Linked DNA regions of Struthio camelus. The protein of the gene in region 1 purifies or fractionates together with the protein of each later gene. This does not show direct contact. Links are inferred from orthologs where the notes say so. Each region holds a gene or a part of one and is shown on either strand. Other genes may lie near its edges.

What was found. Proteins that work in one complex are often made in the same cells at the same time.
Region 2: the proteins of ARPC1A (region 1) and ACTR2 purify together in Homo sapiens (affinity purification with mass spectrometry; 9 studies listed by BioGRID and IntAct, counting the BioPlex papers as one, with this or other methods). This does not show direct contact. The link is inferred for Struthio camelus from reciprocal best matches to the Homo sapiens genes ARPC1A and ACTR2.

The regions. Positions count from the first base shown.
Region 1 is NC_090956.1:4,596,088-4,603,171, reverse strand, and holds the start of ARPC1A (actin-related protein 2/3 complex subunit 1A), read left to right. Parts: upstream 1-4,073; 5' UTR 4,074-4,324; intron 4,325-7,084. UniProt on the Homo sapiens protein: Probably functions as a component of the Arp2/3 complex which is involved in regulation of actin polymerization and together with an activating nucleation-promoting factor (NPF) mediates the formation of branched actin networks.
Region 2 is NC_090944.1:141,298,148-141,306,015, forward strand, and holds the start of ACTR2 (actin-related protein 2), read left to right. Parts: upstream 1-4,853; 5' UTR 4,854-4,941; coding exon 4,942-4,989; intron 4,990-5,309; exon of another isoform or gene 5,310-5,418; intron 5,419-7,868. UniProt on the Homo sapiens protein: ATP-binding component of the Arp2/3 complex, a multiprotein complex that mediates actin polymerization upon stimulation by nucleation-promoting factor (NPF).

The DNA.
Region 1 (7,084 bases):
TACCCAGTTCCTCTTCCCTCTCCTTCTTCCTCTGCTGGAAAAAGGAGAGGCTACACATCATTGCTTATAAAAGGGATTCCTTCAAAAAAGAGAGAGGTTTGGAACATTTTGATGGGAATTTGCCTGGACATAACAGTAATTCTGTCTTCTTCCTAGCGAGCTGATGAAAGCTAAATAAGACGCTACCGCAATACAGCTTCAGTGTCCTCTTTTTTTTTTTTTCCCCAGGGTACTGCACAGCTTACCATTTTAAAAAATTGCTAAAGTAGTGATAGAAACAAGTCTAGGATATCAAGAAGACACCTACGTGGGAAAGACCGGAAGAAAGACAACAAAATCTGCAACTATCTGCAGAGAGAAGAACTACCCGTGTGTCAGACCTGAAAGCTTGCAAATACACTTCTCGAGTATACTTAGAATGATGGAAGGCACATCTAGTATAACTTGAAAACGATCTGTGCTAACACGGATATTGCATTTTTCATGTCAAGGACAGAAATAATTCTTCTCACTGGTAGTCCTAATGCTTAGTCTTAGAAGAGCTTATTGTATGAGAAAAACTTGAAGTTGCTGCTTTGTGATGCTACCCCTTTTACGGTGTCAGAGTTGCTCACCTATAATGCTATCACATGAAAAGAGAGTCTCCTTCCCATTCCCGCTCTCCTGTTCAATGCCTTGAGCCAGCCAGTATTAACAATACCAAGGCACAATTTTTCTGTCACAATCTAAAATGGGGATAACTACTGCTGCCATTTTCTCCACTTTTCTAGTGGACATCATTTTCTGTAGGAGCTAGAGTAAAACTGCTGTCTTCCAAACCCCACTATGCTGCTGTTGGTCACCAAGCCTTGCTTGGACAACTGGAACAAATGCATTTAGGCATACAATCTTTGAAAAGCAGGCTACCAGCAGGACAGGTGTTGCCAGATGTCATACTCTTTATACTTTGCTCTAGAGGTGGTCATTTAGAGTTTGAGCCTAGGGCCTGAGCAGCAGGCTCTTACCCACTTCACTGCAGATCTTATCTGGCAGGGGGGTAAAAGCAGTCAGGAGCAAGCTCTTCCCTACCTAGAAAGCCAGTACGGAAAAAGAGACGGCACAGCAAAATTTTGGTTAAAACGCAAACAGGAAGCATTCTGCCTTCTTTCCCATTCTGTATTATGGCCATTTAACACATTCCACAAAGTTAAAACAGGAGTTGACAAATAGGACTTTGTATCAAGTAGCCAAAAAGCAGGACAGTGACATAAATTAACTTTCCCTGCTTAGAAACCCCAAATTTGAAAGTACTAAAATCAATAGTGACTTTATCTGATCTTAAGGCAATGCTCTTTAGAATTCAAGAATATTATTGATGAAAACAGATTTTGATAAAACTATTATTATCTAGATAGCTATTCTAGAGCAGCTGTCAGGAAACGCAATTAGGAAAGAAAGACATTTGCTGTCTATCCCTTTTAAACATGAGGCATGTAATGATTCTCTCTCCATGGTTAGGAGTGCTGTATTTTCAAATACTGGAGCTAACAATGCACATCTAGAACCCCTCTCACGGCAAATATTTTCATTTGCAAATATCTGTTTTTACATACAATAGCTTGCTTTGAATCCAAAAGACCTCTTTTTGACTAGCTTGTGACCCAACTGCATGCAGTCGCTATTTAAAAAAAATGCCAACAACGGCAAAGGATGTCCCAACTCTTTTTTTTTTTTTTTTTCCCCATAAAAATCTTACTGTCAGACTGTATCTAGACTATTTTTACTGAGCTCAGTTCAGCCTAGCTTGTGCGGCCTTAATAACAAAAACATTGGCATCCTTTCTGGATTAGCACAGCACAATTGCATCAGCAATACAGCAAGAACAAAGGTGGAAAACTCTCCAAAATCCTTCGCTGGAGACAAGACCGTAACATTTAATGTTTAAAAGTTCTGAGCTCCTGCAGAGGTCCTTGTTTAGTTACTTTCACCTTGTCAGGTGAAAATCATCTTGTAAACATGGAACCATACTTAGAAGTAATTTCATTCATATTATGTAATTTTACTTGGCCTAGTTGCATGTGTTTAACCTGTGCATCTGATCTAGTTTTGTTGTTAATCCAGTAAGGGCCGCAATGATTACTTATCTCAGAGTTACAGAACTGTAGTGACACCGGTTCATGAGATCATCTAGTCTAGCCTCTTATCCAAAAGCAAGATCTTATATTGCATTTATGCAATACTAACAAGTATTTTTCAAAACTATTCTCAAAAACTTCTGGTAAGAGCCCACATCTCATCAAGACAGTTCCCCATAGTGCTTAGATAGGGATTTTCAACAATTTGAGCTTCCACTGTAACCTAGATCTCCATTGTTATTATTTTAGCTTATGACTTCTTGCCCTACCCACAGTGGACATAAAAGAACAAATTGTTCCTTTCCTCAGAGCAGTAGCCTTTTATGTATTTGGAGACTTACTGCATTTTTCCCTAGTCTTCTCTTTTCTCAACAGCCTCAATAAAAGTCACAGGTTAAAAGACTCTGATCGTATTTTTCACCTCTTTCTCCAAATTATCCCTAATTTTCTTATGTGGAGACCAGGACCGGATATACTCATCTAGCAAAGATTTTATATAGCTCAGTAGAGCTGAACAATTTCTGAGTATGTCTTACTGACGATTTGCTTAATCCTCATAGCCCTGGTGTGGTGTTTGCCTTTTCTGCAACAGCGAGACATTATCGATACCTATTCGGGAAACAGTACAGCTCCTCCATCCTTTCTTGCAGAATAGCCAGCTGCCCAGTTGATCCTGTCCTGTAATTCTGAAGTTGATCATGCTAGTGTACAACTGTTAAAGAACTGCATCCTATTTTTTCATAGAGTTGCTATTCTGAATTCTAGCTCCATGACCATGTACTTATGCTGCCGTTAGACTCGATCTCATGTTCAAATGCAATAATTATAATCTCATCATTGGTGAGTAATGGGCCCAGGGTAGCTCCCAGTAGAAGCACTGATATCAAGTATATTTTTCTCAACTAGTTTTGCAACTCCCTTAGAACAGTATCATCTAGACTGGTTTCCCAGTTTATTATTAGACTATCCTATATGACATGCGCTGCTTCTCCCTTATCTGCAAGCCCTGTTACACTGCCAGAAAAGGAAACTGGACTGGTTCAACCCATTCTTGACAAAGCCATACTGGTTAACGTTCACTTTCTCATTTCCTTCCAGATGCTTATAAATTTTTTATTTTTTCCTGGGACTAGAAATTAAGCTTACTACTCTATGGCCCCCCCAGCATATCTCAGAGTCACTCATCTCTCCCTACTGCATGCCTCAAAGACAACAAAGTTTGTAAGTTTTACAGAAGCCAAATCATCAGACCCCAAATGGCAGGCAACTTCTCTAGGGAATTAAGAGTAGGGCAAAGAACTGCAACTGCATTTCTTTCTATATTCCAGCCAGATAGGAGGGAAGGTCCTAGAGCTCCTGAAGACCCAGGAAGGGACTGTTAACGCCTGCACTAAGAGGTTCTTTTTCTTTCTTTTCACCAATCCTTTGGTCTCCAAGAGGGAGGAAAGCAGGGAAGGCGTAGCACTCTGCTTTTCCAGAACCTGAAGAAGTCAAAATTATCAAGCTCACAAATCCCACTGCCTCCACCTCTCGGCTCTAGGGCTCTCCTCACACCCTGACAGGCCCACACAGCCACCCAGCAAGCCGCAGCGGCCTCGGCGCCTTCACACACCCCCAAGGCTCCAGGCCAGGAGACGCCGGGTCTCCTGCCCCCTCTAGCAGATGTAGACATGGTCTCCTTCACCTCACGAGGCTAAAAAACACCAAGACCGACAAAATCACTCTCTTAACGCTTCTCCCATACTCACTAAAATACTCCCCAAAACACCCCCCTCCTCCCCGGGGAGCAGCAGCCGCCCCCGACACCACCCACCCCCTCGCGGCGCCTGCGCGCTCCCCGCGGCGCATGCGCCCTCCTCCCCCCACCACGGCCGCCTTTGTGTGCGGCGCTCGCCCGACGCCCGTGGGGCGTGGCCCCCGTCCCGCGCAGGCGCAGAGCGACCACCCGGCTCCCTCCCCACCCTTCCCCGGCTTCCCCCGCCCCTGCAGCGCGGCGGCGGCGCAGGCGCAGCCCGCGGGGCGGGCGGCGGGCGGCGCGCAGGCGCAGAGCGCGTTTCCTGGCTCCCTTGTCAGTGCCGGGCCGCCCCCTTCCCCCCTTTCCCCCCTCCCTTTCGGCCTCCGCCGCCGGCCGCTCCCTCTGCCGCCGCTCGGAGCGGAGTCGCGTTGACTGACCAGAGTCCGCGAGTCCCGCTCCGCTCCCGCCGCCTCAGGTGAGCCCCGCGCCGCGGGTGGCTGTCCGCGGCGGCCTGCCACGCGCGGAGGGGGGCGGAGGAGGGGGGGCCTGCCGGTGCCGCGGGGATGGCGGAGGAGGAGGAGGAGGGAGATTCACCTCAGCGCGGGCCTGCCCGGGGGGGGGGAGGGGAGGGGCGCGCTCCCCCCCCCCTCCCGCCGCCGAGAAGGGGGGAGGGGGGACGCCCTTGTGGCGCCGGCGCCGCGCGTCGCCCTGAGGGGACGGGGCGCCCGGGCGGTGGATGGGGCCGCGGTAGGCGGCCGCCGGGGAGGGGGTGAGGGGCGGGGGTGGGCTCGGCGCTCGGCTCTCTCCCGGTCGAGCAGTGGTGTTGTCAGCGCGGGCAGGGCCGCCGGCAGCCATCCCGAGCCGGTCGGCTTTGTCAGGCTGATGGTGTGCCGTGCCTGCGGGGAGCGACCCCCCACGGGAGAGCAGCGCTGCGGGGACTGGGACGGGGATGACAGCGGTAGGAGGCAGCCCTTAATTATAGGCGCTTCTCTGCCAGATGTTTGCAGATGATGTCGGCGCTCTGAAAATAGGCAAGGATTAAAAAGTTATCTCTCTGTCTCTCTCCGTCTCTCAGACGTGCGCACACACGTGCTATCTCAGATTCCAAACCCCAGTCCTTGCTGGTTGCTTGGCCCGGGGTAGCCTTATACCGCACATTTTTTACCCCGTTGAGGAATGACAGCAGCTGAGTCCCGTCTTTCCCAACCACCACCCTTTCAGCCTGCATGCCCAAGAAGCTTGTGCTGTACAAGCATACAACATTTCCATTTTTTTTTTGCACTGAAACTCAAGGACAGTTACTCTGCATTTGACAAAAAAAAATTAGGGATAGCTACCCTAAGTACCTTGCTGACAAAGTTAGCTTAAGAGCACCTTTTTCCTATGTGAGATCCTGAGATTGGCTGCAGGAGGATATTAAGGTTTTTACTACCTATCAATTGTATCAAGATTCACAGAGAGAGTTGTGTTTTCTGTAGTGAAGTGTGAGTTTGATTTTGTCTGCGCGTTGATAAGGAATAAATATAGCTGGAAGATTTCATTACGATGTATCTTCCTAAAGAAAAAAAAAAACTGCAAGTTCAGACAGGAGAACTAGTAGTGCTTTTTGAGGTTATCATCATTATTGTTTTTTATAAGTTTGTTACCAAACCAAAAGAGGAAGCTGTCACTTGCTACAGGTTATGGTGCTTGAGAAACTCTATCAGTGGGCAAGGATGGATCATATCTCCTGTCTAGATACAAGTTTTTGGAACAGCCAGTGGGTTAGAAAGTAAAAATCCCTGAACTAGGTATTATTAGGATGAGACTGTGCCTTTTATACATAGTGCCAATCTGTGCAGAAAATACCAGGGCTGTATTAGAAAGTGCTTTGAAATAGCTACATTCCTTGGGGAGGGGGGAGAATTAGATGTTTTTAAATTTTTATTTCGGAAAGAGTAGAAAAAGCTGAGCATTCCTTGTTGGTAGAACAGCTCTTCAACTTTTCCTGTATATGGAAATGTACTGCTACTGCATGTTGGCAAGTACGAAAGCAAGATCGTGGAAAACGCAATTCACAGACATGTTTTGCTTACATTAACACATGGAATCTCAAATCATGGCTGTCCAAGGTCAAAGGTAACTCAGATTATGTCAACAAGCTCACATTAATTGAAAAAAATTATTTTGCTTAGCACTGCATATATTTAATAGCTTAGTTTGGTTTGCAGAATATGATTATTAGGAGAATCATGAAATTAGTGTCAGTTAAAATTAGGAATTGGACTTAAAGCTCATGTAGTTGAAAGTTATGATTGAAGTACACTTCCAATGCAATTGGGAGTCGTGTTTCTTTAAGTTTAAAACAGCAGTGCATGATTTCTTTAGAGAAGAGTCTTTTCACCCCTTTGCATTAATGAGGTGCTATGTCATCTCTACTTCAGGATTCAGCACTTTCTGTGTATTTGATATACTAGTGCTGTGATAGTAATTGCTAAACTCAGTAAGAACTTGCTCATCTTTCATTCACTCCTCAGTTTCTATTGAATTGCCATTCATTTCCTGTTTGCCTCCAAATTCCTACCTTGCCCTGAAGTCTCCACCCTCTGCTAACATGGCCATACTTGGGTATGTTGTAATTTCAGGCTATAATGGGTGTGGATGTCTTGGAATGACACCACAGAGGTTTTTCTTTTTAGATGTAGATGTAGAGGTAAAAGACTTTGATCCATCAGCCAAGAATAAATTGCTATGAAATATAGTGGAATATACAGAAGGAGGATGGAATTGGCAAATCTAAGTTGTATGTGCTGAACTATGCACATTTTAATTATTATAGGTGACCTTGAGCTGCTGTGATGTTATCTTCCATCCATTTATGCTGCCATTGATTAATGCGAGACATAGAATATGATATGAAATTTTAAACAGCTTTGCACCTCCAGTTGCAGATGTTCAGGGCCATCTCTTCTGATGTAGTTATAAGTTAAAGAAAAAACTGGGTAGCTAGTTTTTTTTTCCCCCAAAGTATTGACAAACTAGACTAATTTAGCTTGTTCTCTTAGTGTTTAAATCTCATGGGGAAGAAAACATAACTATAGAACAGTTAAGTGCATGTATTAATTTGAAGAAATTAGTAATTAATTACTGTTTTTTGTAATTTTTCCCTAGGATACATGTGAATAGTTTTATCAAATAATATGTCAGCAAATTATAGTTGTCTATGAATGTTCTGGACATGTCAATTTAATCTCCT
Region 2 (7,868 bases), on another chromosome or scaffold:
TAGAAAAGCACTATTTGCTGTGCTTTTAGACTCTCCAGGCTGCCTTGTGATAGAACTAAGAACATTTCTAAGGCTGACCAGATGCAGAAGAGATGTCATCTGTTCCTCCTAGACCCTCCTTCTTCTGCTATACCGAGCAGACGTCTGGGACAGCTGTCCCAATAACTCATTCTTCTCTTTCCGTTCTGAGTCATTCCTGCCTCTGTGCATATGGTTTCTCTATGCCTACACATCAGGATAAGCATAGATCACTTGTTCGGCAAGTTCATAAAAATGTATCCCTCTCAGCAGAAGATAGATGCAGTACTTTACCTGATAAGCTTTCAGCACTCTGCTTAGTCATCATGCTTTTATTATCTGCTATTTCACAGAATTTCACAGAATGGTTGAGGTTGGAAGGGACCTCTGGAGATCATCTAGTCCAACTCCCCTACTGAAGCAGGGACCTCTAGAGCACGTTGCCCAGGATCACGTCCAGGCGGGTTTTGAATATCTCCAGCAAAGGAGACTCCACAACCTCTCTGGGCAACCTGTGCCAGGGCTCTGTCACCCTCACAGTCAAGAAGTTTTTCCTCAGGTTCAGATGGACCTGCCTGTGTTGCAGTTTGTGCCCGTTGCCTCTTGTCCTGTTGCTGGGCACCACGGAGAAGAGACTGGCCTCATCCTCTCAGCACCCCCCCCTTCAGATACTTGTACACATGGATCAGATCCCCTCTGTCTTCTCTTCTCCAGGCTCAACAGGCCCAGCTCTCTCAGCCTTTCTTCAGAGGAGAGATGCTCCAGTCCCCTAATCGTCTTTGTAGCCCTCTACCAGACTCGCTCCAGTACTGGGGAGCCCAGAATCGGACACAGTACTCCAGGTGAGGCCTCCCCAGGGCTGAGCAGAGGGGCAGGATCACCTCCCTCAACCTGCTGGCAACACTCAACACAAAGGATACCATTGGCCTTCTTGGCCACAAGGGCACATTGCTGGCTCATGCTTAACTTGTTGTCCACCAGCACTCCCAGGTCCTTCTCCACAGAGCTGCTTTCCAGCAGGTCAACCCCCAGCCTGTACTGCTGCATGGGGTTATTCCTGCCTAGGTGCAGGACCCTGCACTTGCCTATGTTGAACTTCAGGAGGTTCCTCTCTGCCCAGCTCTCCAGCCTGTCCAGGTCCCTCGGAATGGCAGCACAGTCTTCTGGTGTGTCAGCCACTCCCCCCAGTTTAGTATCGGCAGCAAACTTGCTGAGGGTGCACTCGGTCCCTTCATCCAGGTCATTGATGAATATATTGAACAAGACTGGACCCAGCACTGATCCCTGGGGGACATCGCTAGCTACAGGCCTCCAGCTAGACTGCACCACTGACCACAATCCTCTGAGCTCGGCCATCCAGCCAGTTCTCAATCCACCTCGCTGTCCACTCATCCAACCCACACTTCCTGAGCTTACCCATGAGGATGTGATGGGAGACAGCGTCAAAAGCCTTGCTGAAGTCCAGGCAGACAACAGCCACTGCCCTGCCCTCATCTACCCAGCCAGTCATTCCATCAGAGAAGGCTATCAGATTGGTCAAGCATGATTTCCCTTGGGTGAATCCATGCTGACTACTCCTGATCCCCTTCTTGTCCTCCAGATGCTTAGTGAGGACCTCCAGGATGAGCTGTTCCATCACCTTTCCAGGGAGGGAGGTGAGGCTGACAGGCCTGTAGTTTCCTGGCTCCTTCTTGCCCTTTTTGAAGGCTGGAGTGACAAGGCTATCATGAAGTCCTGCTCTCCCGCAAAAGATACAGCACCATCTCCTATTAGGAAAGCGTGGATAGTTCTCTCCAGTACTTTAAGAGCAACAGAAGAAAACTAGATTATGGAGTATATACCCCAAACTGTTAGACTCCAAAAATATAAAAAAATATTTTTATCTATTATTTTCTGATACGCTTGCATTTTGCTTTACTACCTTCTGAGCAGGTTGCACTAACTGGAATATGCACAGAATGGAATACATGCAGGATATATACAGAGAAGGCAATTCACATGTACACAGTACCCTACGTTTTTTCTCATAAATTCCCTGATTTTTAAGCTTTCCCCTCCAATATATCTTTGCATTGTATGACTGATCTACAAAAGATATACCAGTCCCTGTATATCTTGGAGGTAGTTTAATTAAACCTGCTACTTTGATGCATTAATAAATATATTGTACTTTCAGCATGGTTCAAGCACTTCACAAATACAGATACGTCACAGAATCTCTCTGGCTTTGTGCTGTTCCTCAATGCCCCTAACGCAGAGAACAGATCTCATTCTCCATTGATACAACAGTGGACACACTGGCACGGAGAAGACATTCTCCATTATCCTGCTCATAGTAAAGGGCTCTGACAAATACTGACCACACTACAACTTCTCTCCTTACTCTAAGAAGGTTCCTGCCATGCTCTGCAACCTTAATACTTTTTTTTTTTTTTTTACTTTTGAACATGAAGCAGTATCTCTGTTCAATTTAAGCAGGTAAATAAGCTCAAAAATACAGTTAAGTTCAAAACACATTGTATTTCCTTTCCTGCATTGTATGTGACCTTCGATAAAACACCAAAAATCTTTTAAGGCTATCCAACAACTGACAGCAATAGCTGGTAGCGAGTACAGTGATGGATCTAATGACTATACTGTGCAGTACATAAGTTCCTCCTTAATAGGCCTATTTCCGTTACAGAACTTGCATCCCTTTGATGCGGTCTTACATGCTACGCTAGATGCAGCAAATTAACTACTGATTTTGCAGTGATCGGGCAGACTTAATGTCACTGTCTCTTGAGTGGCTTTAATGACACTGTAAGTTCTGACTGCACTTCTCAAACTAACCCTTTACAATTCAGATTTTTCTTTAATTAATAGCCAGCATCCCCTTAGAAAAGGGATCATATAATAAAAGTGACGGGGGATCTGTGTTATCATAATCAAATTAAAATCTTAAGCATATTTATAGGGACCTAGTGAATATCTAATCTCAGAAAAGTTAGCTAATGCATTTTGAGTTTTTTTTCCTTCAGGCCTCCCAAGTTAAAAATCCAGTTTGCCTCAGAACAGACTGTATTTTGCCATCATTCTACATAAGGAGACATCACTGAAGCCTTCTGCCTGACAAATCAACAGACGATTAGAATACAAACTGCAGCATTTTTCATTCACTGATGGGTCAAGTTCCTTATTAATGGGCATGTGTATGGTATGGCATGGTATCATACCCAGCTTACTGAAACTGAGGCCAGGGCAGCTTGGCAGGTTAAGTGATCTGTCCAGAATTTACAGCAAGTCTAACATCAGAGCAATAAACAGGAGCTAGTTCCCATGTCTGAGCCGTCTAAGCTGAGCTGAACAAGCCGAGTGATTTGAGTTATACAGACTAACTAATGTTTCTGGACCAAGAGCAGGCTTTTAAAGCCATTGCTTTTTGTACCTGGCTTTAACCAACAACGTAAATCCTTCACTTTTATCAGCATCAAAACATCATGCACTGAAGAAAACCTAAAATGAATGTTCAACACACTCGTAGTAGAGTGCAGTTCATACCCAGGTGAGGCTGCTACTGCTCCACAGCAACCAGGAAGTCCTTCCATTACAGCTATATTGGACTGGATTTCTCCATCTTTGTTTGGATAGCCTCCTCGTCCTACTAGATAATGCCATGTCTTCTCATCATTCTCAATATCTGAACATCATTAAAGTAAAAAAAAAAAAAAGTCAAATATTATGCATATTCTGATTTTTAAAAAATTTCTTACTGTTCCCACTAGTCTGTAGACTCCAAAGCAAAAAAAAAAAAAAAAAAAAAAACCACACACACACAGCAACAGCCATTATTTATCTGCAACCTGAACACAGAAATCATTGTGCTGACATAGTTTCTGCTATGTCTAATTAAAACGTGCTGTTGTTCATATAGGATTGACACAGCTAGTGCCACAGAAGTAAAAAATTAGCATACGCCCCTCATCTCTCGAGTCGCCTGGAAGTCCGTAGGGTTTGGGGAAAGGCAAGGAAAATGGCACCAGGCTATCAGAGGCAAACTGAGAGACTGTATTTGCTCTTTCCTCTATTCGGAGCCCATGGAAGAAGGCAAACCGCTTGGGAAGGGCATCCTGTTTGATGGGCTAATGTAAACGCGGGAGAGCAAAAGCTGCTTAAGAGCAGTTAACCGTAAAAATAACGCAGTATCGACGACGAGTGGCTCCGTAAATTTAACAGCGGCGTGATTTAATGTCGTTATATAAAAACGCGGCCTGGCTAACGGATCCCGCGTAAAATAGGAAAGTGGGAAGGACGAGAGCAGGCAGAAAGCGGCTCCGGAGCAGCCGACAGCTCTCCGGGGAGGAAGGGCCTGCCCTGCCCGAGGGCAGCGGGGTGGCTGGGTGCCAGCCGGCTCCTCTCACAGCACGCCGGGGCACTCCGAGGGGCAGACGAAGCCGATCCGCCTGGCCGCGAGGGCCCAGATGACCGAGGGCGGCCCAGAAACCCCCCTCCGCCATTACGGGGCGAGGCGGCCCGGCGGCGCCCGGGGAACGGCTCGGCCCCCGCGTGGCGGAGAAGGGCCGGCTGGAAAGGAGAAGAAAAGGAGCATTATCCGGCTCTTTTCCGGGCCTACCCGGCCGGGTAGGAGGCTGGGGCGAGGGGCGGCGGCGGACGGGCTGGCGGGGCCGCGGGCCGGCGGCTGTGAGGGGGCCGCGGGCCGCCGCCATGGCAACGCGGCGGGGGGGGAAGGGGCGGGCGGTGGCGGCCTGCCGGCGGCTCTGATTGGGCGGGGCCGCGCGGCGGCGGCGCTGATTGGGCGGGGCCGCGCGGTGACGGCTTCCGGCGCGCGCGGCGGGGCGGGGGGCGCGGCGGCGGCGGCGGCGGCGACGGTTGGGGCGGCGGCGGCGGCAGTGACGGTTGGGGTGGCGGTTGCTCGGTGGCGGCATGGACACGCTAGGCAGGAAGGTGGTGGTGTGCGACAACGGCACCGGGGTGAGTCGCTCCGGCCCCGGGACCCGCCCTGCCGCCGCCGCCGCGGGGGGAGAAGCAGGGCGACTCCCCTCCCGGCCCGGCTTCCTGCCGGCACGCCCGGGGCCCGGCAGCGGGCCGCGCCCGGCCTGCGCCGCCCCGGGGCCTCCAGAGCTCGCCGCGGCGGAGCGGGGCCCCTGCGGCCGCCCGTGCACCGGGCGGGGGAGGCTCCCGGGGCCGACGGGATCCGCGCGCCCTCGGCCCTCCGCCCGCGCCGGCCTCCGGGCGCGCAGCGAGCCGCGCAGCGGCGGCGGCGGCGCGCTGAATGAATGGGCCGGGGGAGGTCGGCAGGGGAAGTCGGGCCCTGCGGCGGCTGGCGGCCGGTGTCCTTTGAGCCGGAGCGAGCGAAAAGGGGCATTTGAGTCCTTGCACCCGGGAAGCGGTAGTACCTCGGTATTTACTGCCGTCGGGTCTCTATCTGTGCCCGTCCCCCAGCATCGTGGCAATTTTATTACGCGTATTGTATTCCTATATATGACTTTAGCGGGTTTCCCTTTAGTAAGGAGTACCAAGCAGAAAATACGGTTTTATTTTATTTTTTTTTTATTTTTAATCGGAACGCTCAGTTTATCCGTTTCGCATTTAGGCAGGCAGAGATGCGCCCTCTGTAATGCGAGTTTTTTGGTTTCACGGAAGCATGTCATGCAGCTTGTGGTTAAAAGGCAGCGGGGTCCTTTCATTAATAGCTTTATGACCTGCAAAATTCACCGAATTGGGAGTCGTGGATAAAGAGGGCGCCAAAGCTTTCCTCCTCTTCCTTTCACCTTTCCTGCCCTACGTGAACATGCACGTGCACACTATAAATTTGTTCTTTTGTTAGTGTTATGGAGGCTTTGAGGTGCCTCAACAGGAAGTGACAAAGATACCATTTTAAAGGCATCAGATAAGATGTTATAGGTGAATTTCCGCCTTAGTAATTTTGTTTAGCAATTGAAATTTTTCCCCCCAGAAAAGCAATATTATCAGGGGAGTTAACAAAGCTGACAGGTTGTCAAGAACTCTCGAATGGCAAAAAAAGAAGTATTTTTTAATAAACACTTTGAATAAAGATTAAAATATTTAAAGCTAAAGATTGAATAGTTGAAACAAAGAACGTCACTGTAAGAGGTTCAACACCCTGCCACATGAATTAAGGCATTTCCAGTAAGCATCTGAAATGATTAGAATGATTCAAAAAGCAGAACATCGGATTTGACAGTTCTGAAGTCTTCCTCTTTTTCCTCCTCTAGAAAGATTCTTTTGAGTAAGTGCTGAGGTAGAAAGCCTTTGGGCCTTTTTTGCAATATCATTTACACAAAGGAAAGAAAAAGAGGCGATTTATCGTTTTCCATTTACAAATGGACATGGAGGCAGGGTTCTGTTGGTTGGTTGTTTTTTTTAAGTGTTTAATGCTCATACTGTCACCTTTGTTGGAAATTTATGTAATTTCAGGATTTGATCCTTTAATACAGCCTTTTACGTAGCAATGAATGGCTTTAAAAGGTATAAAAAAGTATAAAAATATTGTTTTAAAATGTTTAACATATAGATAGTGACCATAATGTCATACTGTAGTCGATCTCAGGGATGAAACATGGGACAGAAGCGGTTATTTTTATGCAGTTTTGCAAGCTGTAGTTGGGACACGATTTTTGTGCAGTGAGACATATCTGTGTGTCTTTTTAAATCAAAGAGACATCTGATATATTTTTTTCTCCATGAATTGTACCACCTGGATATAAACAAATACGACAAATACTGTTATACTGCAGTTACAGTGCCTGGAGTAGGGGTCTGTGTCACTTCAACTTCTGTTGTTTTGGGTTGAGTTTTACCTCTAAGCAGAACAATGCATGTATGGCCATCCCCTGGCCCCAGAGATGACTGTGTGCTAGTGCAAAGTATGAAGAAATGGTTGTTGTTAAATCTGTAAACTTAAAATATTCAAATTGAATTGGGGTAAGTACACCAGAAGAAAATTCAGTTCATAAGATCCATACGTCTTTCAGACTCCACCTGTATACTGAGAATATCAAGTCCTGTATTGCCAAACCAGCATTTTTATAGTAAACATTGTTATATGGTAAAGAAGAGCTGCTTTACATTAGAATAGTGTCTGATACACTGTGATATGTCTTACTTAAACCATGACTAAAGTTAAATCTCTTGCCAAGTGCCGGAAATAAAAATGCAGGAATTTTAGACTCAGTTTTAACTTTCGGCTTCTTTTGAAACTTACTGTTCTTGTCATGCTGAAATATGAGTTTTTAATGTATTTGACTGCAATCAGTCTTTGAGGAACAAGTGACCAAGAAGTGTGTTCTTGCAACACACAGTGTAAGAGAGGGAAGCTGGCGATGCCATCTTGGAGCGTTTGAGATGAATGTTCTTACTGGTCTAGGTCAAATGATAAGTTACTTTATGATCTGGATAGTTTTCTAATTATATTTAAAATCTTTTTTTGAGAGTTGCATCAATTAAAAAAATCAAGTAAAGAGTCCTGATAAGAATAATATTATCCATTTTAAGACTTTTCATGTGACATGTTTGTGAGCAGATGTAGAAAGCTTCCTCATTCTTTTCGTTTGAAAGAATACTTATACGTACAAGTTCTTACTGTTTGATGACTCAGTAGGAAGTGAAAGAGTCGGTATAAAACCACAGTGCGATGGAGAAGAAACTATATATGGTAAAACTTCTTACATATGTGGTCTTGTGTACAGGCAAACTAAGTAGCTGTTCTTAAAACATTTTTTGGTGTATAGCAAATATTTGCAAAAATACATGATGTTGAACTCTTGGCTTCCTCAGAAAGATGTACAAATTCATTGAATTATTAGTGTTAAAAGCAAGGTGTATAGTAA